Sus scrofa: one gene and its partners. The protein of the gene in region 3 interacts with the protein of the main gene of each other region in a pairwise test. Links are inferred from orthologs where the notes say so. Each region holds a gene or a part of one and is shown on either strand. Other genes may lie near its edges.

Region 1 (3,500 bases), about 140 Mb from region 3:
TGAAGACACCTCGCCCACTGGGCTGCCTTCTGGCGCTCTCCCGGCCTCAGGTTCCTGCCACCTCCCCTCCAACCAACACACTCACCAGGTGTGGCTCCTGGGCAGCCAAGTTTCCTTGCCAACCTTGTCAATGCAAAACTTCTGTGGCCCATTGCTTCCTGTGGTCCGGAAAAATGCACTGTGTGTCACAGGATGGTCCCTTCCGAAGGCAGGACCCTCCGGCTCCAACCGCTGAAGGCTCAGCCTCCCTCCCACTGATCTGCTTCCAGGAAGACACTAGGTCCTGCCCCCTTCTTTGAGCTGTCCTCACCCCCCCAAGGGCACCCGCAGGCCAAGGGGAAATGTACCAATGAGTTCGACGAAGCCCCCAACGGGCAGGCGGCAGGTCCCAGTGACAAACTGCAGCAGCCGGATCCTCTTCTCGTTGTCCATCTCCTTCACCACCTGCAGCTCCACAAGCCAAGGCAGCGTCAGGGAGCCGCTTGGCCCAGTACCTCCCCTGACCTCTAACTCTCCACTGAGCCGGGCCCCTCTTTGGGACGGAGAACTCGGAGCCCGGGCTGGAGGGGGAGCTGACCACTGCCACCTGGGCAACCCCAAAGCCATTCTCTCTAAAAGGCTGTGCTGGCCTTTCCCACCAGGTGATGTCACATCGCTTGGTCTCAGGGACACTTTGGATCAGGCAGTCTTCCTCCCTCCAAGTTCTGCTTTTATTTATTTGTTTACTTATTTTTATCTTATTTATTTATTGTGGGGGGCTCATCTGTGGCAAGTGGAAGTTCCCAAGCTAGGGGTTCAATCAGAGGTGTAGCTGCCACACTACACCACAGCCACAGCAATGCCAGATCCAAGCAGCGTCTGTGACCTACACCACAGCTCCTGGCAACACCGGATCTTTAACCCACTGAGCAAGGCCAGAGACTGAACCCCTGTCTTCATGGATACAAGTTGGGTTTGTTACCACTGAGCCACAAAAGGAACTCCCTGATTTTATTTATTTATTTTTGCTGTTTAGGGCCACACTCGCAGCATATGGGAGTGTCCAGGCTAGGAGTTGAATTGGAGCTGTAGCTGTAGGCCTACACCAGAGCCACAGAAACACAGGATCCAAGCCACGTCTGCGACCTCCACCACAGCTCACGGCAACGGCAGATTCTTTAAACACTGAGCAAGACCAGGCATTGAACCCACGCCCTCATGGATTCTAGTCAGGTCTGCAACCCTGTGAGCCACAATGGGAACTCCCAAGTTCTGCTTTTAAAAGTATACTAAGGACAGGAGTGACTGCTTAATGGGTATGAGGTTTCTTTTTATGGGGGATGAAATATTCTGGAATTAGACAGTGATGAAGGCTACACAGCACTGTTAAAAGCCACGTCAGATCCACTGAGCTGTACACCTTAAAATGCTTAACCCAGTGAATTTTACAGCATAGGAATTTCACTGCCACAAAAAACCTACACATGCTTGTTCTTTTTTGTATATGCTATACTTCATAATGACGACAACGACTGGACCCACACACACAAAGGAATCGACTCATTGTATCTGAGACAACGAGCCCATTCCGTTTCTTTGGAGCCAACCTCATGCTTGCCCCTGCCACCTGGCTGGACAGGGACCCACAGGACAGACGAGAGCTTTCCTTCCTGTACATAATGAGCCCCCACTGCATTCCAGCATTTGGAGCTGGGCCACCCACCGCCCACCCACACTGGCCACAACCCAGATGCCACAGCTCCCTTTGTCTCAAGGTTGGGTGTCTCATCTCCTTTTGCAAGTTGAGGGAGGTGAGGAGAGGGTCAAAGACGAGGGAGGCGGTAACACAACAAGTATCCTCGAGCTTGGGGTGGAATCAGGTCTCGCTTCCTGTGGGGACTGCGAAAACGCCCCCGCCCAGACCCTTGCCCTGAGGGCAGGGACCAGACCCAGGGCCCACCTGCCAGAACCACTGGATCTGCTTGCTGTTCTTGGTGTAGTGCCGGTAGATGGTGTTCTTCTGCCAGTCGCTCATGTCTATCTCCTGCATGCCGCACAGCATCAGCTGCCGGAGAAAGCCCGGGAGTCAGCCACCCAGCCCAGCACCCCCCACGGCACACGGAGCTTCATCCACTCCCTGCCAGATGAAACACGTTTTCGACTGTCTCTGCCGGCAGGCCTAACAGTGCGGGCAACGCAAGTCGTAAGGTGGACCCCCTGCAAACCAGGGCCCAGGTAAGGGCAGGTGTGAACCCAAATCAATGTGACTGGCCTGCTGCCGCCCCCCAGCTAGACTTCGGGGTTCTCCTGGTGAGTCGCTGTGGGTTCCCAGCAAGGCTAGCAAAGAGCAGGACTGCCCCAGAGGCAGGGGTTCGGGGTCCCAACTACCCCAGCTCTCACCTCCAGCTCCTTCTCATCAAAGTAGCGCAACCACTCCAGGGGGGCCACCTCGTTGAAGCCATCGAGGAAGGCTTTGGTCTGCTCTTCCACGCCCCGGGTGAAACGCCAGTCAGTCAGCAGCCTAAAACCAGAGCCCGAGAGCCACGGCTCAGGAGCGGCAGGGTGGGGCGGGGAAGCCCACCGCTGGCAGCAAGGGGTCAGCTGAGAGTTGACTTCAGGCCGGCGGGGAGACCCAGGGCTGCTGCCAGCCCCAGGGAACAGCCTTTAAAACCTCACCGGAACCCAGAGGCACTTGAATCTTTGAAATCGCCTCCTCCTCCTCCTCCCACTACTGCTGACATGTGGAGGTTAAAAGGCACGACCATGAATGGGCATGTGAGATAATGGATTTAAGTCAACTGGACAGAATCAGGAGAAAGAAGAGGGCGCCATCTAAATTTTATGCCTCATCAAAGGAATTCAGCCCTATAGCCTTTTGTTTTGTTTTGTCTTTTTAGGGCCGCGTCTGCGGCATATGGAGGTTCCCAGGCTAGGGGTCGAATCGGAGCTGTAGCTGCCAGCCTACACCACAGCCACAGCAACGCGGGATCCAAACCACGTCTGTGACCTACACCACAGCTCACGGCAACGCCGGATCCTTAACCCACTGGGCAAGGCCAGGGATCAAACCCCCAACCTCACGGTTCCTAGTTGGATTTGTTTCCCCTGCGCCACAACAGGAACTCCCCGGCCCTGCGGCCTTGAAGTCCACCACCTGGGGGACAGAGAACCCAGGAGGGGAACAGAGGGCCTTGGGCTTGGGCTCCAGCTGCTCACTAGGGTCAGTCCCTGACTGGCCACAGCAGCCACCTACGGTCAGGGCCAAGTGGGAGGTTCTTTCCACCCCTGGCGACCCACGGGCCACGTGTGGGGGGCTGGCTGAAGAGGGCACCCAGAGACAAGAGCAGGAAACCCTCTCTCTGCAGCCAGCTGGGCCTCTGCTCCCCTCTCGCAGCCCCCCAGCCCCTCAGCCCCCAGCGCTTGAGACTCACATGATGTACTCTTCCTTGTTCTCCTCGGTCACCCGGATGCTCTCCCCGCCTTCCTTCAGCTCGTGCGTCGTCACCTTGCCCAGGATCTCC
Region 2 (3,500 bases), on a different chromosome or scaffold from region 3:
CCGACCCAAGTCCCCCGTCCCCTCGCTCCCCCAGCGGAAAGGAGGGAGGCGAGCCTTCGCCCGGGCTGCGCAGAGCGCAGGGCCTGGCCCGCTGCGCACGGTGCCGCGGTGGGAGCTGCCTCTGCTGCCTCCCCCCTCACTCGACGGCAAACCCGCAGGTCTCCTCCACCGCCGTCAGCAGCTTCTCGTACAGCTTCTCGTACGACTCATAAGGTGGAATGTCGATCCGGTTAAAGCTGCAACAGGACAGCAAGGCCAGAGTCACCGCGGGCGCCTGGCAGGGGCAGAGCCTTCTCGGCCACAAGGTAGCAGCATGGGGGCGGGGAGGGTTCCCTTTCGGGCCTGTGCCGTCCGTCTCACACTTGGTTCCCCCCCAGGAGCCACCCCTTCCGTCCCCCCCATGCTCGGCAGCATTAGGAAGCAGCCGTCTTCTCGATGACTGGTCCCCGCAGTGAGCGGGGCTGATGTCATCGGAAACCGCGAGGGAACAACCCACGAGCGACACGCCAGCCAACGAAGAAACACGTTGCACACACGAGGCGCGTGTGTTGGAGGCGGGGCCCGGGAAGGTCAGGTGTGGGAGACAGCGGCCCCACACCAGGGGGTGCCCTGTTCCCGCCCGACGGTGCGCACAGACCCCGGGCCGGGGGCGGCTCTGACACAGTCACGTCTCGGGAGGAGCCGGGTCCTCAGAAGGGCCCCGGGGTCCCCGCGTGCCGTGTCCTTACCAGGTGTGGGCCTTGGGCAGGTTGTCCGTGTTGGCATCAATCAGGTGGATGGTGAAGAGCCGGGGCCCTGCGGCGCCTGTAGAACCTTACGGAGCAACATTCTAGTTAATGCGCTTCAGCGGCCCAGCCCGGGCCCCCTGCGCCCCTGCGGCCACACGGAGGCCCCCACGTCGGGGCGGCTGTCCTGCCCGAGGGCTGTGGGGGTCACGGCCAAGGCCGGGTTTCAGGATATGCCTACAATGGCTGTGAAGTCACTAATATCAGACTTTCTAGAAAATGACAGGGGCAGGCAGAGCAAAGATGGGCGAGAACCCTCCAGCTGTAGCCACTGGCCTACGCCAGAGCCACAGCAACGCGGGATCTGAGCGTGTCTACAACCCACACCACAGCTCACGGCAAGGCCGGATCCGTAACCCACTGAGCAAGGGCAGGGACCGAACCCGCAACCTCATGGTTCCTAGTCAGATTCGTTAACCACTGAGCCACGACGAGAACTCCTGATTTTTTTTTTTTTTTTCTTCTTTACAGCACTGTTAAGCGAGCAGGCCCACTCTTGGCAGTAGACAGCAGGGTCACAAGAAAAGCAGGACAGAGTCGGGAAAACTCCCCAGGCAGAGGCAAAAGAAAAAGACACAAATGCCTGAGACCAAAGCCCCAGGAATGGGAAGGAAGTTCTCTCCTGCTAAGAGGCCTTAAAATGAGTCCAGAGGGACTGCCCTTTACGTGAACGGCGTCTGTTCCCACTCTTACTATGCAAAGCCGTGTGTACTAAGTTCCAACACAGTAATGTTCTCACCTTACTCCTTCCAGCTACGAGGTTCCCAAGGGACAAGAATCAGGTTTTACAAACCGCAGGGCCGGGAGGAGCCTGCGAGGACTTCGCAGTGGCTGTGCTGACCACCGGCCCTCGGAAGCAGCAGCAGGAGAGCCCCTCCCCTTTCTGCAGCCCAACTCCAGACCTGGGCGTCCCGTCGGGGCGGGAAGGGACGCGAGAGGGGACGGGGGCCTATCAGCAGTGCACGCGTATAGATGAGGAAACGGAGGGCCGGGGAGGACCCGGGAGCCAGCGACTGCACGGCAGCAGCAGACTGTCTCGGGCTCTCCCCCCTGTACCTCGGACAGCACGGAGAGAGCTGCTATCAGAAGATTCAGAAATGAATCTCGGCGCGCTCTGTTTTTTGGCTGTACCCACAGCATGTGGAAGTTCCCACGTCAGGGATCAAACCCGCGCCACAGCACTGACAAGGCCAGATCCTTCACCTGCTGTGCTGTAATGCACCTTTAAAACGGGTTCCTGTCCCCAAGGCCTTGTCGCTCTTTGTACCCGCCCTCTGTGCCCCATTCTGTGGGGGAGGGGAGGCCCTGGCTCCACAGGCTTTGCTGGCCCAGCCCTGCGTGGGCACCACTGCTGCCAACCCGGGGTAACCTGCCTGCTGTGGCTTTAGAGACCCTGGGGAAGGTGGCCTGTCTACAGAGTGCAGACACCTTCACCCAACCCCTCAAAGGAGAGCAGAGCCTCGAGCCCTGGGAGCAGGGGGAGAATGGCCACCGAGCGGCCACGGCTCGTGTGGGGGGAAGAGGGTCTCGGCCAGGCCAGCACCCCCGCAGCGCCGAGCAGCTCGTGAAAGAACCCACCCGACGGGGTTTCCTGGTGAGCCCAGGACACCCAGCCCCGCCGCCCTGTCAGTCACCTTGCAGGGCCTTGAAGCCCTGGAGGGGGACCCGCGTGGAGCCGGTCACGAACTGCAGGAGCCGGGCCCTCCGCTCCTCGTCGAAGGTCTCCACCGCCTGCCAGAACCACCGGACCACGTTGCTGTCAGCCCCGCAGTGCTTGAGCCGCGTGTTGGACTTCCAGTCGTCCAGGTCGATCTTGTCCAGGCCGCCGATGATCAGCTGCGAGGGCGGCCAAGGCAGGTTACCTCCCCACGCGCACACCAGCAGGCCGCCAGCCTCCCGGGACACGGAGAGTGACACACCACATCCCCACAGACTGGACACATGCTGACGAGCCGGCAGGCCCAGAGCCCACACTGCGTCTGCACCTCCCCGCTGGCTGGCACCCCCACCACTCTGGTGTAGCCACCGATGCAACGCTTCCCTGCAACCAAGTCTGTGTGTGTGTCTGCGTGGCACTGGGGCGGAGCAAGGACCACAGAACCAGCCTCGGAAAGGCCGCACGAAGCCACCTGTAAAGGGGCGCCTCACATGACCCTGCAGACACTCAGGGGTGCGTGGGGTTTAAAGTCCTAAGAAAAGGGACCGGGGCTTGTTCCTGAGACTTACTTTAAAAAGTCCACTCCCTCCGGGGAGGCGCCTGGGGACCCAGGGTCCTGGCACCGCACTCGGGGCAGAAAGACGGGTACAGTTTTGAAGACCCGCGCCCCTTGGCCCCAGAGACCCATCAGACATGAGCGAGTTGCTCTGTCCACACGACGAAGAATTACAAAGGACAGTGAGTGACACTCTGTTGTGAGCCTAAAACTAGCCAGAATCAAAGCAGCAAGCGGACGTGGCGGGAGAAGCTGGTCTTGACAATTCCCTGCCCGAGGTGACTCCTCGGCTGCTGGTGATCCTGCGAAGCAGGCTAAGCCGCAGACCATGGAGAACCGTGTCCCAGGAACTATCCAGAAGCCCTGCCGCCCAGCAGGCCCGGGGGCCTTGTCGTCCCCTGGCCCTGCCTCTGCTCCCCTGGGGTCCCGGGGCCCCAGGCCTGTGGGGAAACGGCTGCCTCACTCGGCGGCTGCCCCCCTCCCCACACCGGGCTGCGCGGCT
Region 3 (3,976 bases):
TAAATTTGCATATCAGTATCTGGGTTATTCATTTCAAGAAGGGGCAACCACAAAAAACTCCCACTGTCACAAATAACATGTTTCAAAAAAAGTTTCTTCATGATACCAACAAAAACTCTACCTTATCCTCCTCGAATAGGCAAATACGATCTCCACAAATTCTAAAAAAGTTATCCTTAACACTGTATTACCATAAGGACATAAGAGAAAGAGGGCAGTAAGTCAAAGATATTTGACTTTCCTGGAAGGTGGCTAGGGAACACAGGAGATTTTGAAATAAATATCAAACATCTAAGAAAATATGCTTATGAAACTGAAATAAGCACAATGACCTATAGCATTTATGAAGAAAACCAAGAGTGAAATATAAACAATGTACTTGCTTCAAAGATTCAGAACAACATCCAGATTTATTTTGAATTTTTTAAGACTTCTCTTGTGAGAATTCTTTGGAAGAAATGGGTGTATAAACTTACAAAACTAATACTGAATTCAAATTCATTAATTCATTCATTGGGGACATTGTCTCTATTCTCAAAGGCTTACAGTCGTCATTTATTTCACAGTTACTGAGCCAGACGGTGGGCATACAACACACAGGAACCATGGGGACCCTACCTGCATGCAGCTTATACTGGAAGAGAGAAATGCCTCAAGAATGAGACACACATCTAACTAAACAAGGATAACACTTAAGTATTCTATATGCTGCTTATGGAAGTGTAGAGGGTTGTGGGGCGGGGGCACAAAGAAGGGAGTGATGGATTCAAGGTGTAAGGGAGGGGAATGTAGGGACTTCAGATACAGATGAGTTCTCAAAGAGGATCAGAGGTTCACCTGGCCGACCTTGGGGAAAGGGCTCCAAGCAGAGGAAGGAGCTAAGGCAGAGAGGTGTGAACAGACTGCTGTATTTGATAGGCCAGGAATATGAATGTGAAAAATAAACCATGGAGGTTTCTGTATGCCACAGTAAGACTGGACTTTACTGGTATATATGAAAGGTTTCCGAAGGGTTTTATTCAGGAAACTAGCATATGTGATCAGGTTTTTCTGGTGTGATGAGGCACTGATTTACATAGGTATGAGAAAAGAACAACACTAGATAATGATGTCACCACATGAAACAACAAAGGAGAAAACTAAACCCTGTTCAGGAAAAAAATTAAGGCACTTAACTATCCAAGTCCTTCTGGGAAAAAAGTTTTTAATCAACATCATTTAAAACTGAAAAACTAGACAAAAGGTTTATATATATACATAAATATTATGTATTATAGTATCTACGTATCTATTTTGAATTTTCTAAAGAGGTCTTTAGCTCTTTACTAATTGTGTAAAGACAGCTGAAGCTGCTGACTGCTGTGCAAAAGGCAATGAAGCTGTTTGGGAGAGAAGCCTTTGATACAAAGGGAGAACCACAAGTAAGAGAAGGTATTTCTCAAGTAAGGTTTAAAGGTTTCCAGAGTTCAAGATAATCACGTTCTATTAAGTCAGCGCGTTTAAAAGGTGTGTCATAGGGGTGGAGCAAAAGGATTAAGGATTAAAATTTTTAATTTACTATATATATAAACAAGTAATCCTTGGTGCTGCTCGAACCAAAAAAACTACCTGAAAATCTCCCGAGCTGAGGGAGAAATGAATGCTTACCAGATCCAATTAATCCTACCAGATCCAATTAATCCAAACAAGGTAGGGAGGAAAGGATGGTCACACTTGGAAGTATAAATGAGGTGGGGGTTAACCACCTATCCACAACCCATAATTCATCGCACCTGGCGATGCGATGTGGCAATCGTCTCCAAACCTCACAGTTCAGACTCCACGACTCAGACATAAAGGCAGGAAAATGTCACTTCCAAACTCCACAAGCTAACCACTAGCCACCGGCCAAGGGGACATAATCATATATCCGAATTTCAGAACTCAAGGACAGAAGTACCATCCCCACATCGAGGTGAAAGAGTCCCCCTATTTCTGGAAGTGAAGAGCAGTCGCCCTCAAATTCAGTCCTAAGCGTGTCAGTGCCCCTGAGGCCAGGTCTTACCGAAACCAAGGGCAGTGACAGCCCGAAGCCCCCACGACCTCGGCCAGAGCTGCCTCTGCTCCTCGCACCCCCCTTCCCCACACACACCCTCCGTACCTGATATGGCGGCGGCGGCTCCTGATCCGGCTCCGTCCCCTCGCCAAAGCTAGCCCGGTCGGACTGAGACTCGTGAAGCAGGGAGATGTCATCTGAAGTGGGGGATTTGAGGCAGTTCCCCATCTTCTGGGGTTGGGGTGTGTGATCTAGGGGAGGAAGAAAGCAGCGGCGGGGTCCTTCGCACGCTCTGCGGTCAGCCCCGGTCAGCGACGTGGGGTCGAGTGGCAGGCCGGGGCTCAGGCGGCAGCGGCTCCCCCGCCCCCCGGCGCCGCCGAAGGGCCGCTCATGCCAGCCCCCGGGGTTGGGGGCTTAAGGCTGGGCCGCGGGCTCGGCTGGGGTCGCGGCGGTTGCCTCCTACGAGGCGGCGGCTGCCTCCTACGAGGCGGCGGCGGCGGCGGCGGCGGCGGGGGGGGGGGGGGGCGGGGAGACGAAGAACTTCCCCACCCCGCCCCCCCGCGGGGCGGCGGCGGCCACGAAGCTGTTGGGCCTAATCCAGGTCAGGAGGGGGGGGCGCGGCCGTCGCGGCTCCCTCAGCTGCTGCCTCAGCTGCTGCTGCCCCCGCCGACGCCGGAGCCGCAGCCGCGGGCCTCATCCTACACCGCCTCAAAGCGGCGGCGGCGGCCAGAACGAGGCCAGCTGCGGCCCTGCGTCACGCCGCCGTGCGTGCCCTGGTCCCGCCCCCGGCGTTGGGAGGTGTAGGCGGCGCCGGCCCCGCCTACCCGGTTCCCAACAGCTGTTCCCCGGGCTGCGTCAGTCTCTGCTTCTCCGACAATTAGCTGGGGACCGAAACCTCTGAAAGCTCTCTTGGGTCTCCTTGCCTCCCCACATCCACTGCTCCCTCCCCGCTTGCCTCACTTCACACCTGTACGCTGTTTTGTCAGTCTTCTCACGACCTTCTGCCTAGTTATCTATTTATGAACCCGTATTTGAATGGATCACTCCCATTATTAACATATTAAAAGGTTTACCATTTATCCCTTCAAATAAAGTCCAGACTCATTAAGGAAACTTTCCTAGCTCCCCAATCGCTTCCTGATCCTCCTATATCACAGCCAGAAAGATTCTTCTTCCAACTATACTAACTGAATGCTCTATTTCTTTTTTTTTTTTTTCCCACTGTACAGCAAGGGGGTCAGGTTATCCTTACATGTATACATTACAATTAGGTTTTTTCCCCCACCCTTTGTTCTGTTGCAACATGAGTATCTAGACATAGTTCTTGAATGCTCTATTTCTTTCCATTCCCACCACCATAGTACAAGTTACCATCATATTTCTATTGTTGTACTTGGAACCCTTCCCCCTGCATTCACCATTGCCCCTATTCAATCCACTATTTGTTCAGTCCAGTTTTCTTTTTAAAATGTAAAGCTGATGTCCCTAGGGGGAATTTAAACTTTTTAAAATCTTCAATGGCTTCCCAATGCTGTTATGGCTAAGCATTAATTCTTAAATGGTTTACAAATCTGGCTACCTCCTCGATCTCATTAGACATTGTTCCCTGACATATTCTACACTCTAGGATGCCTAAATAAAGTAGTCCAGTTATCTAGAAGGGATAACTTTTACCTTTTAAAAGTTAAAACGCTAAGGCTTTACCCACACTGTTTCTCTGACAGAAACTCACTTCCGCCCACTTCTGACCTTATACCTCCCATCAAGCTAAACATTATCCCCACTTGTCCTTCCTGGACTCAACTTTGGTTCCACTGGGAAGCCTCTCCTAATCGTGGAGTCTGGTTGCCTAGTTGCCTCTCCCTGAGCTTTTCTCTATTACAGTCTGATCAAGCTGAATCATCTGTCTCTCCTCTGTGCAGGGCCTGGCACATTGCTTAA
Region 4 (4,066 bases), on a different chromosome or scaffold from region 3:
CAGGCACAGCAAGAAGAAACTGGGACCCCACTGCCCTCATTACAGCCCACTCATAGGGCAAAAAAAGTTCTAGAAGAGTCAAGGAGACCAGAACTAGCATGCCTATGCACTGACCTGTTCCAACAAAGAGAAATAAGCTGTAGTCTCTGCTTCCAGCTAGAGAGCAGTGGCTCAGATGTTTTGCCCAGGGAAAAAAGGCAGGCAGTAAGAACTGAGAGCTCCAAAGATTTCCCTCAAAGACACTGACTTCACAATGAACAGAATATGGATTAGCCCAAGTCTAAAGGCACTCGTGAAAACAATGGCAATTTTAATGGTAAACACTAGCCAGGCAGTTCCTCACAAAGCTAAACATAGAATTACCATATGATCCAGCAATTCCACTCCTAGATATGTACACAAAAGAAATGAAAACACATTCAAACACTTGCACATGAATATTCATATCAGTACTATTGAAATAGCCAAAAGGTGGAAACTACCCAAATGTCCAACAATGGATGAAGGAACAAAATACAATATATCCATAGAGTAGAATATTATTCAGCCATAAAAAGGGATGGAGTACTGATAAAGATAGAACGCGGTAGACTTCCCGTTGCAGCTCAGTGGGTTAACAACTCGAGTAGTATCTATGAGGATTCAGGTTCGATCCTTGGCCTCACTCAGTGGGTTAAAGGAGCTGATGTTGCCACAAGCTGTGGAGTAGGTTGCAGATGCAGTTTGGATCCAGCATTGCTCCGGCTGTGGCTGTGGCACAGGCAGGCGGCTGCAGCTCTGATTCAACCCATAGCTTGGGAACTTCCATATACCACAGGTTTGGCCCTTTAAAAAAAAGAAAAGGAAAAGAAAAGAAAAGGAAAAGAGAAAGAAAGAAAGAAAGAAAGAAAGAAAGAAAGAAAGAAAAAGAAGGCGGCATGAAACATTATGCTAAGTGAAAGAAAACAGACACAACAGATCATTCGCTGTATGAATACACTTACATAAATTATCTAGAACAAGCAAATTCACAGAGATTAGAAACTCCGAAAAGCAGGAGTGGGATGGAGTAAGGAGAATGGGATGCTTAATGGTTAAAGAAGTTGTCTGGTGTGATGAAAGTTTTGGCAACAGTGGTGACAGTTTCCAAACACTGTGAAAGTAATTAATGACACTGAATTGTACACTTAAAAATGGTTAAAATGGCAAATTTTACCATAATAAAAAGAATTCCCAAAAAAAGCAAGTACACCAGAGCATCCACATCACATTTAAGCCTGGAGAAGAAACACTGCAGGGCTTAATGACCACATAAGTGGTCAAGCCGCTAAAGTCTGGGGGCAAAATGAAGAGTTGTTAAGTCCACACTGTGGAGGGCTTTGAATAAAAATGACTGAACTAGAGGAAACTGGCCACAGAAAGCTATTTTAGGCTTGTTGAAAGCTTAAGAACTAAATGAATGGAGATGTATAGGCAAGAAAGTTAGAGAAAAGTAACTGAAAATAAAAAAAATATTAACACAGGAATCCAGCAGTTTCCTTACTTCTGCTGCTGCCATACTGACTGTTGCTCATCTGTGACTATTTATATAACTTTCGACACAATTTAAGACCCTAGTAGGTAATTCTTTTGTTTCTTTTTTTTTTTTTTGGTTTTCTTTTCATTTTTAACCCAACAAACACCGACCAAACTAAGCCTATGCCTTAAAACAATGAACCAAATCTTGCCATTGTGACCTTAACCAACATTTTAGGGCCCATTAAACTCAAAGATGTGAAAAATTTGGACAAATACTAACCCAGATTTTCTTTTTTTATCCTTGAAAAAAAAAAAAAAGACTAGTGATGATTCGCTTTTTAAAAGATTTTGGTTTTTAGACAATGAACAAGCTGGATTTTTACTCACCAATTTCCTCTGATTCTTGCCCAGAGGCTCTAAGCTTGCATTCTTTTGGATAGTGTTTCTGAATTATCTTCCACAGTTCCATGTTGACAAGAGAATTTGTTCGGGTGCGGTGTCGAGTCCACGAAGAGACTCGGCGGCGACAGAAGGGGCAGCACAAATTTGCTTTTTCGACAGTCGACTGGAAGCATGGTTTACACAGCGTGTGGTTACAAGGGAGTGTCACAGGCTCAAATAGAATTTCCACACAGATCTGGCACTGGCATTCCGACAATGAAGGGATGGCGTCCTTGGGTACAGCCATTTTAATATGCTAAAAAGGCATATTCAATCAACATCAACACCTGAAAGAGAAAGAATCCTCATCTACAGCCCAAGTTCGGAGAAAGCGAATTAAGTTTTGTGTTTAAATTTTATGCCCAGTAGCCTACCAGAATTCAGAGACTGGGAACATCAAATGTCTTTAAAGCAAAAAAGTGTTCTGAGGGTCAGGTAAACAGTACGACCGTGGAAGGAAGTGTGTTTGTCCATGTTAAGACAAACGTCCGAAATGAAAACAAATGAACCTTGACTGCTCCCAGCATTAACAGCCGTTGCGGCAGGGCGGATGGTGGGCTCTCTGGCCCCCGCAGGAGGCACGCGCCAAGTTCCCCTCCTTTCTCTTACCAGGTGAGGATGCTCCCGTAGCTCCCGGAAGCCAAGCCGCAGACCGCAGAGGCGCGCAGCTACGCAGCCACCGCTAGAGGAAGAACGCTTCTTCCGCCCGGACGAGGAGCTCCGAAGGAGTAGGACTTCCGTTTTACCATTGTCGGGGGCCGCGCGCGAGCCCTTCCGGGCGCTCTGAGCCCGCCCCTCCCTCTCTTCCATCTACCCAAAAGCCTAACCTTGGCGCGGTGCTGTAGCAACCCGACAAGGGCTAGTGACGTCACGACTGCCCGCCAAAACAGCCCCTCCCACCTAGAGAACCAACCAAAGGTAGAGAGGGCTAACATTGGGGCGGGACTTCCGAGTCTGCGCGCGCTGCCCGACCCGAGCCCCGCGCCCCGCCCCCCCAGAGCTGGTCTTCTCGGTGTGTTGCAGTCCTTTCTTCGCAGACCCTGCGTCGTCACATTGACTGCACTTTAGTATTTCCCTCTTGATTTCTGCTCCCAGAGGCTGCAGAAATCAGGGTATGTCGCAAGGTTGGTCTCTTGTCAGAAAAAGTGAAACTTAAAGGCAAATTAAAAGCCGATGGAGTTCCCGCTGTGGCGCAGTGCTTTAAGGGTCCGGTTTGCCGCGGAGGCTAGTTTGATCCTTGGCCCTGTGCAGTGGGTTGGGGATCCCAGATTGCTGAAGCTGCTGCATAGTTCTTACCTGTGGCTTGGATTCGATCCGTGGTCCTGTCACTCTTCTGTGCAGTGGGTGCGCCCCCCCCAAAAAAGCTTGACAATAATTTTTAAATTCTTCCCTTAGTACTCCTCAAACTACCCTTGTTTCTTTTCATTTGTAAGGAAGCCTCTTAGGTCGCTTTCCAGAGTTCTTGTAAAAGCATCTCTAGGATGATTTCTGAGAAAGGCTGTGGTCAAAGAATCTGCAAACTTGCTACAATTTAACAGGTACTTGGGAAACAAACTGTAGGACTGGCAGGATCCTGGGGCTTAGCCAACATGTGCATCAATTATAAGGCACTGCTTTATTGTTTAATTTCAGTCTAGACCAATCAAAATTACAAAAGAAGTCAAAAGGAAAATATTTTAACTTTATGCATTTTGAAATGTTTTCCCACTTGGTTTTGTTAAGGCAGCTGCTCAACAGCCCTGCGCTGCAGCGTATCAGCTCTAGCGACAGCCCTGTGGCTGCAGTGTTTCAGCTCTTTTACCCAGGGAGAAACCAAGTGAGCACTGGGAAAGTTGGAGAATTCACGTTTATTATGCCGGCAGGCTCAGAGGAGATTGCTCTCCAGAGTCTGAGCCCGGAAGAAGTCTTTCACAAAGTTTTTATGGGCTACCTCTTCTGAGCTCCTGCTTGGCGGACCAGAGTGAGGTCAGGCAAGGTAGTAGATGCGGAAGCAAGCTTACTGCAGCAGATGCGTGAGGGAGGGGTGGTTAGGGGCAGGTGGCTGGACTTTGCTTAGTCATCATGACGGGGGGGGGGGGGGTGTCTCTCCTTTCTACCTTTTTTTTTTGTCTTTTTGCTATTTCTTGGG
Region 5 (4,042 bases), on a different chromosome or scaffold from region 3:
CTTTTTTTTTTTTTTTTTTAGGGTGACAAGTTTATTGCTGGGTTAAGAAGCCACTTAATAGCATTTCCATTCTGAGTCACAGAGCAGACAGGTATGTTATGCTACACAGGTATCACCTACATTTTAGGGATGGGTCAACCTGCTAGAGATGTTTACTTTGCAGCCAATAGAAACACATGTGCCAACAATTAAACTCACGTGGTCAACACAAAAATTCTACTTCTCTAGTCAAACACTGACAAGAGTAAATGAAACAATATCTTAGTTCTTCTATATGTAGATAATAAGTACTGATCAAAAATGTTTTTTCTGAAAACCAACCACTGAAAATCAGAAATCAATGATTCCTTGGAGTTCCCATTGTGGCTCAGTGGTAACCACCCCAGCTGGCATCCATGAGGATGCAGGTCTGATCCCTGGCCTCGCTGAGTAGGTTTAGGACCTACTATGCTGTGGCATAGTCCTTTAGCAGCTATAGCTCCAATTCAACCCCTAGCCTGGGAACTTCCTTGTGTCACAAGAGCGGCTCAAAAACGGAAAAAAGAGAGATAGAGAGAAAAAAAAGAAAAAGAGGAGTTCCCGTCGTGGTGCAGCAGAAATGAATCCGACTAGGAACAATGAGGTTGTGAGTTCGATCCCTGGCCTTGCTCAGTGGGTTAAGGCTCCGGTGTTGCTGTGAGCTGTGGTGTAGGTCACAGATGCTGCTCGGATCTGGTGCTGGGGTGCAGGCTGGCAGCCACAGCTCCAATTGTACCTCTAGCCTGGGAAGCTCCATATGCCCTGGGTTTGGCCCTCAAAAGACAAAATGACAAAAGACAAAAAGAAAAAAAAGAAAAAAGAAAGAAAAGGAAATCAATGATTTCTCAAGTCCTCATGGAACACTTCTGAAAGCCCAACTTGGATTAAGAAGCAAAGAGATACAGGCAGAATTCCTGTTTATAGAAGCTTACAAGTAAGCAGGGTCAGACACTCTCCCACAATGACTAAATGAGAAGAGAATTCAATTCATTTAAGGAGCAGAAAAGATTAAAATACAAATAGCACATAATCAAGCACTATGCTGGGAACAACCCTCATCAGTCAACACACAGCAGCCTATGTGTAAGCCTTATATAAAATTCCATTTTAACCAGGCAAATAACCCTCCTTAAAACCCTTCCCTGGTCCTGCCATCACCAGATAAAAGCCCCCCAAGAATCTCCTGCATCTTTTCCCCTATCAGCCACCACAGCTCTGCCCTGCACTTTTTCACTTTTCAAAAACCACCTCCCGGGAGTTACTGCCCTCTTCTCCTTTAGTTGCCCCACGCCCACATTCCCACTACCCCTAAAATTCCCACCCCATCTTGCTAGTCTGAATGTTACTCATTCTTCAGGACACTTTCAGATACATTTCACTCCCTGCGGTCCCTCCAGACACTTGGGGTGTCCCCCCTCAGTGACCTCTCTTAGCTCACACTGCTCACATTTATGGCAAGGATCTCTGCTGTCCTTCTCCCTTAAAGTGCCTACTTTCTGGAGAAGAAAATGATGGCTTGGAAGGTCCCCAAAATTCAAATCCTTCAACACTTCTTAATTTTCCACCTGAGAATCAGTAACTCTTAAAACTAACGTTATCTGTCATGAAATGGATCGAATAAAAATCAAATCTTCTTGCACCTCTGGGAAGCTTCCTTGGTACTGCTTAAGTTACTTATTAGTAACCTTAATAGACTTGGGGGGGGGGGTAAGTGTACTTTTGCAGCCTTAGGTTTACAGAAAAAGGTACAACAATGAGTTAATCTCAAAAACAAAACAAAAGCCACAACTCTTCAGATCCAAAAAACGACTCCCCAGGTGATGCTGTAAACTCATCCTGACCAATTTTCACATCTAAGCTCATGAGCAAAGCGAGCCCCCATAGCCCACGGACACATTTCCCAATCACAGGGCTTGGCCATCAGCGTTGAGACACCACCAGCAGACTCTGATCTACTCCCTGAAGCGGCTGGGTCCCTCCTCCTTGTCGACTAAACTTCCGTGATGAGCATCACCTCTGCTCTCCTCCAAGACGGTTCGGAAGCAGGGACTTGTGCTCCTAACCTCAGGCCCACAACTTTGTCCTCAATCATAGGGCGAAAGTTAGGACCAGTCTTCCAGCTCCCACGCCGCGAAAGACAGCATCCTCCCAGCTCCCGGACCCTTCCCTCTCTGAGACCGACGCGGGTTCCCGAGGTCCCGGCGGCCCTGCCCAGGCCGGGCTGCGACGGGTCCCCAAGGAGCCCAAGGCACGACCCAGCCGGTCACCACCACAGGTGTCCCTTGGTACTCTGCCGACTGGACTGAGTGAGCCGGTCGGAGGGAAGCCATCCCGCGAGAGCTGGACAGGCGGCAGGAGGCGGCCAGGAAACGAGACGCGTCTGTCCGTCGGAGTTGGGCCGGGCCGCGGGCAACTTGGCGACAAGCGCCCTAAAACGGCAGGCCGAACGCGCAGAGGATGAAGGGGGCCGGCGACGGCCTGGGACCGGCCAGGGCCCCGCCACCGGGCCCTGGGCTGGGACGAAGGACGGCAAGAGGGACCGGAGCGAGATGGCCCCGGCCGGGTGGACAGCCTAGACCAATGACCCAGCAGCCCCTGTCGGGACGGCACCGCCACCGCGAGTCGCGAACCGCGCCCCCCTCGGGTCCCGTCCGTCCGCCCCGTACCTCGCCGGCTGCTCCACCCGCGTCGGGACCGCAGCTCTCCCCGCGTCGCTCGAGTAGGTCCCGGCGCCAGTCCACAACCCGCCCTCACGCCGGCCCTCCCTCTCGCACGCCCCGCCCCCGGCGCCGCGAGCGCACGCCACGCACGCATGACGTCACTTCCGGGGCTCGGAGCTCGCCGGGAGGGTGTAGGTGCCCATCGGCATCTGCCCTGGGTGGCGCGAGGGCGAGGCTGGCGTGGATGACAGTGGCGACAAAGCCGTCGGGCATGAGGAAGGAGGCGCCCTCAGCCCTAGTGCTGGGTCCCTGACCTGGAGCGTTCAGAAGCCGACGGAGAAGCCGGCGTTTCCCTGTCTTTTCCTCACCCACTGTATTTGGGAATCCCACTGAGAGAGACGCTGCTCATCCTTAGCTCGAAATGGGAGGCACTGGAAAGGCTGCGGGAGAGAAGTCTTTGGGCCAGTGGACAGTTGCAGTCTGTGGGGAATGAGGCTGCCTGAGAAAGTAATGAATCCCATAGCTTCACACGGATCTTAGGATTTTGAACGTGGTTTGAGTTTAAAGGACCTTAAAGAGAGTGACTGACCTAGAAGCAGGTTTTATAGCTGAGCATAACTGAATTCCAGAGGTTAATAAGTTACCCAGTGTCACACAGTATTAATGATCGAGTCATAAATGGAATCCAGTTCTCCGTGATTCCCATTTCAGGAATGTTGGAGACAGCGGCTGCCTCTGTATTCTGGATGGTATCTATGGCACAAAGTGCAGCCACGACTGGGAGAAAAAAAAAGAAAAAAGAAAAGAAAATACTAGAGTACAGTGTCTGGAGGGAGACCTAAGTTGGAATACCAGGTTTGCTAAATGCTGCCTCTGATCTTGGACAGGTTGTCTAATTTCTCAGTCTTTGCTCATTATTTGCCAAATGGAGATTGATTCATTCCTCAGATTATTCCTAAATTCTGTAGGGAAGCAGAATATGCCACCCAAAAATATGCCTCTGAGAAAGCAGAGAAGCCCTGAAAACAAACCAGAAGTTAACCTTTTGTACAGGAAATGAAGCTAATGAAGGAGATCACGTTAGTAAAGGGGTCTCCCTCTGTACCTGGGAGAGAAGGATGACTCTTAGGTCACTAGAAGCTCAACTATGGATAAGACACTGACTTAGAGCTGCATGACAAACCTTAAGCTTATTTTTATTCCCCTGGTCACCTCCCATAACTGGTCTCCCCTACACACACACACACACACACACAAACACCTTTCCTGTTTTTTCTTTATTGGAAAATGGTATTTAAGTGGGCATTCTAAGCCTTTTCTCAGGGTATCTCCTTTGTATGTGTGAGGTATACATGGTAATAATT
Region 6 (4,154 bases), on a different chromosome or scaffold from region 3:
CTGTTGTAACATTTCTAGGTATACAGTTCCAATTGTGCTTACTGTACTGCATATAAATATAGCAAAAAAGATCAAAGAATGGTATAAATCTTACAGCATTTTGCTAGCAAAAATACATGCCAAAGTCACAATAAGCAATATTGTACCACAAATTAGAGTTTCAAATAATTTGTTTCTGCTTTTAATATTTTCAGTCTACATTAAATTACTATCATAGTCTAATGTTTAAAATGCAAATAAATTGGACATCTGTAGGACAAAACTTGTTCACCCAACCGTAAAGGTTGATACCAGTTCTCAAAAATCACAATAAATGCAGAATAAAGAAGTGTTTGCATGCAACACCTTTGAGTGAAACAGCATTGATTCCCACCATTCAAAACAGAGAAGGAAGGCAAGAAGGGAGGGAAGAGAGAAGGAGGAAGGGAGGAAGGAAACAAAGAGGGAGGAAAAGACTCCACCTTAAAATGCATATTAGATTTATAACTAGACAGATTTAAAGGAATCAAAATGAAAGTAAAGCACAATTCTGTGTGTTTAAAGATTTAAGAGCCATTATCAAAAATAAGATACATTTTTTCAAGGTACAGAAGTATAATTACGATGGCTGGGAGCCCAGCAGCCTTTCAATGGCTGCGTTGATGTCGCCTCCTGTTGCTATTAGAGCCTGCAAGTTTGCTTCCCGGTTTAAGAACCCCATTGCGTTGAGCTGTTCCAGTTGTTGCTGAAATCTGACTTCTGGATTCGGCAGCTGCGGAGGATTTGCTCCAGCGAGAGCCTGCACCATTTGCTGAATGAACTGCTGGTTGGGTCCAGATTCCGATGTTGGGCTCGTCGTGTCACTGGGTGCAGAGCTAGACACGGTGGGCCCAGGGGGGGTTCCAGAGCCAGTGGAACCAGGGGGACCTGCAGGGCCAGTGGGTCCTATGGGCCCAATGGGGCCTATGGGGGTAAATGGGACTATGGGGCCAATGGGGCCTATGGGTGTGACTGGGCCTACAGGGCCTATAGCTGTTCCCAGCACCCCTACCCCCACCCCTGGAGTGAAGCTTGGAATTAGGCCAGGAGCTTCAGTAGCTAATGTCTGTAGCCCCTGCTGGATCTGCATTAAAGCCTGCATTGCTCTTGGGTTTGACATGGCTGACAGTGTGTCTGGATTCTGCATCTGCTGCAGGAAAGCAGGGAGCTGTGGACGCATCTGCTCCTGCAGCTGAGGATTTGCAGTAAACACAGGGCTATTCAGCATCATCTGTGCAGCCAAATCTGGATTCTGGCTAAGCGACTGCATCATGCTTCTCATATAGGGCGCAGACAGCATATTCTGGATCAGCTGGGGGTTTTCGGTTATCTGTTGCAGCAAGCTCTGCATTCCTGGGGTGCTAAAGATGCTAGCGACATAATTGGCTGCAGCAACTGTGTTCCCCGTAGCACTGCTGGAGCTACTGCCAGATCCACTGCCACTGCTAGTTGTTGTGCTAGTGGTCGCAGAACTCTGGGTAGCCGGTGGCGGTGCCCATGGATTGGGTAGTGGATCTCGATTTTCTGTGCGAGAAGGCTGCGTACCTTCCCCAGAAGAGGAACTGTTCCCCACCGAGGCAAACGGATTACCCCCAAACTGCTCCTGTGCGGCATTCAGCATGGGTTCTTGAATGTCAGTATACATGCGCCGTAAAGCATTGTAGCCACCTGGGATGCTTTCGAGATTGCTGAGAGCCAGGTCTTGATTTCTCATCATCTCTTGCATCATAGCTGGATTCCTGGCGATTTCGAGGGTCTGCCTCATTATATCTGGGTTGTTAAGCAGGTGACTTATTTCTGGGTTTCTTTGAATTAATTGTTGCATCTGTGGATTGGCCATAATGAGCTGCCTCATCAGATCAGGATTTGAAAGCATGCTCTGAACAAAGGGATTTTCCATGATTTGGATCATCATCTCAGGGCTGGACAGGAGCTGCTGCTGCATCTGGTTCTGGAGCTCAGAGAAGTTGGTCGAGCTTAAGCCCAAGCTGCTAAGGCCTGCAAGTCCTCCCAGGCTCCCCAAACCAAACGGGTTGCTATTTGTGGAAATAGGTGTGGAGTTACTCCTGGGAGTCGACGCGGTGGTAGTATTAGTTCCCGCGGCACTATTGGGCTGTGTGGACTGACCCTGAGGTCGGTTCTGGCTTTTGATGACAAGGTGAACAGTCAGTCCATCATGGATGCCATGCTGGATCAAGGTATCTTGATCTTTTAAGATTTTTCCGGCAAAAATCAGCACTAGCTGATCGGTTTGGGATTTGAAGCGTTTCGAAATCGCTTCTTTAAACTGTTGGACTGAGCTGTTCTCGGGCACTGCGAACTCCTCTTTCTCTTTGGGGGTCTTCACAGTGACTTTGATGATTTTAGGCTCCGCCGGGGCAGAGGCCGGGCCTTGCGCCGCAGCAGAGCCGCGGGAGGGGCGCGGGGGGCCGCTGCTCTCGCCGTTCTCAGCCATGGCGGCCGCGGTGACGCAGGCAGACAGGGAAGGCGCGGGCGGGCGAGAAAGAGAGCGAGGGAAGAAGGAAGGAAGGAGGCACCGCCGCAGCAGGCTGAGCCGGGCCGGGCGGGAGAGCGGAGCACGGTACCTCTGTGTTGAAGACTGCGGTTCCCTGGTCCTCAGATGGAGAGAGGGCTCCGTGTAGGCCACGGACCGAGGTTTCGGCGTTCAGGTCTCTGGGCCTCCGCCGCCACTGCCGCTGCCGCTGCCTCCGCCGCCGCCGCCGTGTGATCCCACCCCCACCCCGCGCTCTCCCAGCAGCTCCCGCAGCCGCTCCGCCCGCTCCTCCCCGCCCCTTCCCCTCCCCCCAGTTCGGCTCTCGCCTCCCTGCCCCCGTCTGCTGACGCGGCGCCAGGCGCAGAATGATAGATTCGACTCGGTCAAAATTAAAAACTTCTGTTCTGGAAAAAAAAAAAAATGAGGGAGAGAAAGAGAGTGAGAAACAAAGAGAGAGGAAAACAGGAGAAAGAAACAAAGAGACTAGAGAAGACAAGAGAAAAAAATACGGAAGGGGGACGGGAGCCAGTTTCTATAAAGGGAAATAAAGACTAATGGAGAAAATATACATGTATTTCGTAAGATATACATATATATCTATACATAGATATATAGATGTTCCGTTAGAGTGAAGTGAAAGAATGAAAGCCTGAATCGAACCCAACCCAAGTAAAAGATTAAAAATAAAGAACTCTGACAAAGCAAAAAGGAAAAGATTAACACCCACCCCAACCCACCTCTCACCCTAGGGTGAAGAGAAGAGGGCTGGGCAGGATCCTGCATTTTACAAAAGAAGTACAAATGGCAAATGGGCATATAAAAAGATGATTAAGCTCACTAGTAATGAAAGACATTCAAATTAAAACAAGGAAATTCTTCTTTTACTGGCAAAGATGAAAAATAATAATAAATCTTTGAGAGAGCTGAGAAAATGCACGCTTATGCCAATTGAAATGTAAATTGTTATAATCATAAGATGATTTTAACATATATATATCAACATTTTATATAGTTCCACCTCTGTTTGGAAATGTCTAATTTAGAGACCTCACCTATGAAAATAACAAAATAGGAATGCAGAAATGCATATGTATAAAATCTACACTCATTGCAGCATTTAAAATAAATATTTAAAAAGGATAATCAGTGTCTCTTTACACAGGATTGGTCAGATATATTATGATATTACCATAAAATAAAATAATATCCACTATGTTTAAAAATGGGTGGTTAATTTGTATGACATGAAGTATCTTTAAAGGAAGATATGAAATAAACAGTAGTTACAAGGAAATTACAGAGTATTTTCGCTTTGTATATTTCCATGCAGTTAGAAATTATACAAGCATGTATGGTTCAGTACCAAAAAACACAGTAAGTATATTTTTACTTTAGAACAGTTTGCATGTGTAAACTGTCTTTGAAGACTGTATGTATAAAAGTAATCAAGAACACTGTAGGCCAATATGAAAATGGTGGTTATTGGTGCTCAAATTATGAATAAACTATCTTTTTAAAATAAAATTTAACTTTTTCTGATGGCCTCCGTAAGTATACCTTGCATTTACAGTTTTAAAAGATGAGAAATTATTTTACTAAAAAATTGTAGATGGCAATTGGCAGGCACACAATAGTAGTGGCA
Region 7 (4,185 bases), on a different chromosome or scaffold from region 3:
AAAGAAAAAAGTGATGACTCTTTTTAAACCTTTTTTGACATGGACATTTTTATGCTACACACACAACGTGGTACAGGTTTAGAAAAAGAACAAAGTAAGCCAAAATCGGATACATTCCTTTTTAAATGTAATCTGAAGGGAGTAATAGAAATGTCTTTGAAGGCTGAAGCAAAATGTAACCTACTTGAGTGAAAAATCAATAAGCTATCTTTCAGGAAAATTGTACTCAACAATTGTCTAATGGTCTTTTAAAGGAAGTAAATAAACAAATGGAAATGAGGAGTTTAGGAGACAGCCGCCTTATTTTTTTTAATCCTAACAATCTAGTTCTGTGTGAGACTTTTTTTTTTTTTTGCCCCACTGCCATTTCTTCCTCTTCCTTTGCTATCAGAACCCTGATTTGATTCTGGGATCCTGGGGCCACCTGTGAAAGGCAGACCAGATCCTGAAGCCAAGGCAAGCATCATGATAGGTAATCATGGTAATCTCAATTCCTTCACCAGGGCCTGATTTGGTCCTTGAGACTTAAGGGGAGATTTACATAGGAGGAGGGCCTTGGTCTAAAAATAGACTGCCCCACATTCAAAATAAATTCAAGGAAGGAATTATTCTTTGTTTTTTTTGGATGTTGTGAGTCTGCATGTGATGCCCAGGGCTACTACAGCCATCTTGCCACCATGAGGCAAGACATCAGGCAGGACTAATATTGAGGATAGTAGAATGAAAGATGGAAAACATCTGGGCTGATGACATTTTCAAATAACAATAGCCCTGCAATTCTCTCTATTTTAATGAGATAATACCTTTCCTACTGTTGAAAGCCTTTTAAGCCATGCTTGTTACTCATAGATAAAAGCATCTCAATGGCCACAACTTCAGAGCCTAATAAGGAAATGCATTGCCATGTTTAAAAATGTTCTGATAAACTGACTTAAAATAAGTAGTCAGTTCTGGGATTCATTGAAGATATTATCAGTGATGTAACTAAGGAAACATTTTCTCTTTTGGAACCAAATTGAAGCAGTGAAGAAAATAAACCATTAACTAGGAACTGCCAAACAACAGTCCCTAGGCCAAATCCCACTTGCAGACTGTTATCGTAAATCCTGTAAGACAAAACCAATCTGTACTTTTTTTTTTTGTTCTTCCTAGGGCTGCGCTCGCAGCATATGGAGGTTCCCAGGCTAGGGGTTGAATCAGAGCTACAGCTGCTGGTTTACACCACAGCCACAGCAATGTCAGATCTGTGCCGTGTCTGAGACCTACACCACAGCTCATGGCAACGCCGAATCCTTAACCCACAGAGCAAGGCCAGGGATCCTCATGGATCCTAGTCAGGTTTGTTAACTGCCAAGTCACAACGGGAACTCCTATATTTTTTAATAGTTGAAAAAAAACATCAAATGAATAAGAATATTTCATGACACATGAAAAGTATATGAATTAGAATTTTGGTCTCTAGAAAGGAAGTTGTTAGAGCATAGCCATGCCCATTTGCCTGTGGCGGCTACATGAGAGCTGAGTAATTACAGTAGAGAATATATGATCTTCAAATGATCTTCAAAGCCTAAAATATTTACTCTCCGCTCCTTAAAGAAAAGTTTTGCTGACCATTGCTACAGACCAATGGACTTACCTCAAATTGCATGGTAGAATTACTCAAGGAACTTTCAGAAATACTGATACCAGGACCCATCTAGACCAATTAAATAGAAATAGAGCCAGTGAATCTATTACAAAGGCAAGGCTGAAAGCCATTTCTCTACGTAATGTGAGTGCATACAATACAAGTGAGCTTCAACCTGGACAGATTTAATAGGTTTAGAGAAAACGAAATAAATCTAGCTTCGAACCATCATTTATAACCCCAAATTCTCTGCCATCAGCCTAAGTTTCACCTGTCACCAATTCAATTCACAAAGCACAAAGCGGTGTTTGCAACCAGAATGTTAGAAACAACAGTGTAAACAGTACATCCTTGTTTAAATGTTGACCCAACTGGCACACATGGGTGGTACTGGTTGTTAGCACTCCAAGACAGAGTGGGAGTGGAATTGAAGAAAAACAAACAGAGGAAAGAACTAGACTGTTAACAGCTAAAAAGTATTTGGGGAAACAATTATAGCCCAAAAGGATTAACGGAAGGGAATAATATAGCAACAATGACCAGAATGTAGACGTTTTCACTAAATTCTACACTGGATCAGAAAATATCACTCAGGTATCATTTTATAAAAAGGAAAAGGGGTGCAGTTCCTGGTCTGGCCTGGAAGGAGCTTGAAAGTCATTCCTCCATTCTAAAAACAAGAAAAAGCCGAACAAACTGAAAAATCACCCACTCTTAAATCCATGAGAGAACGAAGGTCTCAGGGCAAATCTCGGGCCCTCACATTAGAGAGACAGGGAGACACAGAAAATCACAACTTACCAGAGCGGAAACCCACAAGCAGAAACCTCCTCAGGAACCAGTGCCGCAGTCAGGAAAGCTGAACTGTATTTGACAGGTGGCTGGAGCCGCAGAGTAGACAAATCGGAGAATTAAATATTCCAGAGGAATCCACACTTTGTGAGCTTTGCCTCTAGGAGCCCTACTAGACTCTCACAGTGGAGATCTGAGAGGAAAATCTTCTTGTGTTTCCTGAAGAAGGAGCCGAAGAGGAACCACCTTGAAATGTGCCAGAGCACTCACTTCTTAACAAGGTCCGCCTGCAGGAGAAGCTATTTTCTAGGGCCTAACCTGCTGGGATTTTATCTGTGCCTAACTGACCTAGGGGAAGGGAAATGCCCAGCCCCAGCTGGCTCTATTCTTACACTGGGGAAGCGAAATACGCAACTCCTGCTCCTCTAGGCATCTTGTTCCAATTAAGGGGGGGGAGTGGGGCAAAAAAAAAAAAAAACCCACAACAACAGAGAAGCACGTGTGACGTTCACAGCCCAGCAGCACAGGCTCATCAAAAGACTGACACCTAATCATAAAACTATAAAACATTTTCCCTTCCCCCACACCTAACCACCACATCATTAAAGGCCTATTTACTGCAGTTCCTTTTACTCAGTACAAGTCCATCTTTCAAGAAAAACTTGTAAGGCATACTAAAAGGCAAAAGACAGACACCATTTGAAGAGCCAGAGCAATGTTCAATCCCTGGCCCAGGAACATCCACATGCTGTAGGTGTGACCAAATGCATGCATATATAAATAAAGACATACGTAAATTAAAAATAAAGGCATGGAGAAAGATATGCCATGCTAACACCAGTCAAAAAAATTCAGGAGTAACTCTACTAATTTTAGACAGAGCAGACTTCAGAGCAATAAAAGTTATCAGAGATATAGAGGAGCATTACATAATAATAAAGTGGAATAGATTCAGATATGGCAAGAATGTTGTTAGAATTATTACACCAGGAATGTAAAATAAATATGATGAATATGCAAAGGGCTAATGGAAAAAATAGACAACATGCAAGAACAGATGGGCAATGTCTGCAGAGAGATGGAAATTCTTAGAAAGTACCAAAAAGAAATGCTGGAACCAAAACACTGTAACAGAAATAAAAAAATGCATTTGATGGGCTAATCAGTAGGCTGGACACAGCTGAGGAAAGAATTTCTGAGCTTAAGGAAATGTTAATAGAAACTTCCAAAACAGAGATGCAAAGAGGGAAAAAAAAAATGGAAAAAAAACCCAAAAGATAATATCTAAGAACTGTGAGACAACTATAAAAAAGTGTTACATATGTATAATGGGAATACCAGGAAGAGAAAGTAATAGGAGAAATATTTGAAGCAATAAGGACAGCAATTTTCTTTAAATTAATGTAAAATGCTAATGTCAGAGACATCAATCATGAATAGTTCCAAAAAACACTACACCTAGGCATATCATATTCAAACTACAGAAGATCAAAAATAAAGAAAAATCTCGAAAGAAGCCAGAGGAGAGGAAAAAAGCCTTACTTATAGTAGAGCAAAGATGAAAATTACATGCAACTTCTCAGAAACCATGGAAGTGGAGCAGAGTGAAATTTAAAGTGTTCAGAAGGGGAAAAAAAATCAACCTGAATTCTGTACCCTACAAAATTATTCTTCAAAAGTGAAAGATAAATTTAGACTTTCTCATACAAACAAAAACTGAGAGAATTTGTTTCCAAAAGACATACCTTGAAAGAAATGTTCAAAGA

What was found.
Region 1: the proteins of RNF11 (region 3) and WWP2 interact in binary tests that used the Homo sapiens proteins (3 or more experiments, as listed by UniProt). The link is inferred for Sus scrofa from reciprocal best matches to the Homo sapiens genes RNF11 and WWP2.
Region 2: the proteins of RNF11 (region 3) and SMURF1 interact in binary tests that used the Homo sapiens proteins (3 or more experiments, as listed by UniProt). The link is inferred for Sus scrofa from reciprocal best matches to the Homo sapiens genes RNF11 and SMURF1.
Region 4: the proteins of RNF11 (region 3) and RNF168 interact in binary tests that used the Homo sapiens proteins (3 or more experiments, as listed by UniProt). The link is inferred for Sus scrofa from reciprocal best matches to the Homo sapiens genes RNF11 and RNF168.
Region 5: the proteins of RNF11 (region 3) and RABGEF1 interact in binary tests that used the Homo sapiens proteins (3 or more experiments, as listed by UniProt). The link is inferred for Sus scrofa from reciprocal best matches to the Homo sapiens genes RNF11 and RABGEF1.
Region 6: the proteins of RNF11 (region 3) and UBQLN2 interact in binary tests that used the Homo sapiens proteins (3 or more experiments, as listed by UniProt). The link is inferred for Sus scrofa from reciprocal best matches to the Homo sapiens genes RNF11 and UBQLN2.
Region 7: the proteins of RNF11 (region 3) and ubiquitin-conjugating enzyme E2 N-like interact in binary tests that used the Homo sapiens proteins (3 or more experiments, as listed by UniProt). The link is inferred for Sus scrofa from reciprocal best matches to the Homo sapiens genes RNF11 and UBE2N.

Annotation. Positions count from the first base shown.
Region 1 is NC_010448.4:17,070,983-17,074,482, forward strand, and holds part of WWP2 (NEDD4-like E3 ubiquitin-protein ligase WWP2), read right to left. Parts: coding exon 3,411-3,500; intron 2,501-3,410; coding exon 2,380-2,500; intron 2,045-2,379; coding exon 1,940-2,044; intron 445-1,939; coding exon 348-444; intron 159-347; coding exon 86-158; intron 1-85. UniProt on the Homo sapiens protein: E3 ubiquitin-protein ligase which accepts ubiquitin from an E2 ubiquitin-conjugating enzyme in the form of a thioester and then directly transfers the ubiquitin to targeted substrates.
Region 2 is NC_010445.4:6,040,379-6,043,878, forward strand, and holds part of SMURF1 (E3 ubiquitin-protein ligase SMURF1), read right to left. Parts: intron 2,622-3,500; coding exon 2,420-2,621; intron 814-2,419; coding exon 729-813; intron 237-728; coding exon 137-236; 3' UTR 1-136. UniProt on the Homo sapiens protein: E3 ubiquitin-protein ligase that acts as a negative regulator of BMP signaling pathway. Mediates ubiquitination and degradation of SMAD1 and SMAD5, 2 receptor-regulated SMADs specific for the BMP pathway.
Region 3 is NC_010448.4:160,908,914-160,912,889, forward strand, and holds the start of RNF11 (RING finger protein 11), read right to left. Parts: upstream 2,801-3,976; 5' UTR 2,264-2,800; coding exon 2,141-2,263; intron 1-2,140. UniProt on the Homo sapiens protein: Essential component of a ubiquitin-editing protein complex, comprising also TNFAIP3, ITCH and TAX1BP1, that ensures the transient nature of inflammatory signaling pathways. Promotes the association of TNFAIP3 to RIPK1 after TNF stimulation.
Region 4 is NC_010455.5:133,624,280-133,628,345, reverse strand, and holds the start of RNF168 (E3 ubiquitin-protein ligase RNF168), read right to left. Parts: upstream 2,801-4,066; 5' UTR 2,548-2,800; exon of another isoform or gene 2,313-2,547; intron 2,226-2,312; 5' UTR 2,186-2,225; coding exon 1,885-2,185; intron 1-1,884. UniProt on the Homo sapiens protein: E3 ubiquitin-protein ligase required for accumulation of repair proteins to sites of DNA damage. Acts with UBE2N/UBC13 to amplify the RNF8-dependent histone ubiquitination.
Region 5 is NC_010445.4:16,373,796-16,377,837, forward strand, and holds the start of RABGEF1 (rab5 GDP/GTP exchange factor), read right to left. Parts: upstream 2,801-4,042; 5' UTR 2,685-2,800; intron 1-2,684. UniProt on the Homo sapiens protein: Rab effector protein acting as linker between gamma-adaptin, RAB4A or RAB5A. Involved in endocytic membrane fusion and membrane trafficking of recycling endosomes. Stimulates nucleotide exchange on RAB5A. Can act as a ubiquitin ligase.
Region 6 is NC_010461.5:48,946,708-48,950,861, reverse strand, and holds the start of UBQLN2 (ubiquilin-2), read right to left. Parts: upstream 2,801-4,154; 5' UTR 2,474-2,800; coding exon 599-2,473; 3' UTR 1-598. UniProt on the Homo sapiens protein: Plays an important role in the regulation of different protein degradation mechanisms and pathways including ubiquitin-proteasome system (UPS), autophagy and the endoplasmic reticulum-associated protein degradation (ERAD) pathway.
Region 7 is NC_010443.5:26,024,423-26,028,607, reverse strand, and holds the start of ubiquitin-conjugating enzyme E2 N-like, read right to left. Parts: upstream 2,801-4,185; 5' UTR 2,429-2,800; intron 1-2,428. UniProt on the Homo sapiens protein: The UBE2V1-UBE2N and UBE2V2-UBE2N heterodimers catalyze the synthesis of non-canonical 'Lys-63'-linked polyubiquitin chains. This type of polyubiquitination does not lead to protein degradation by the proteasome.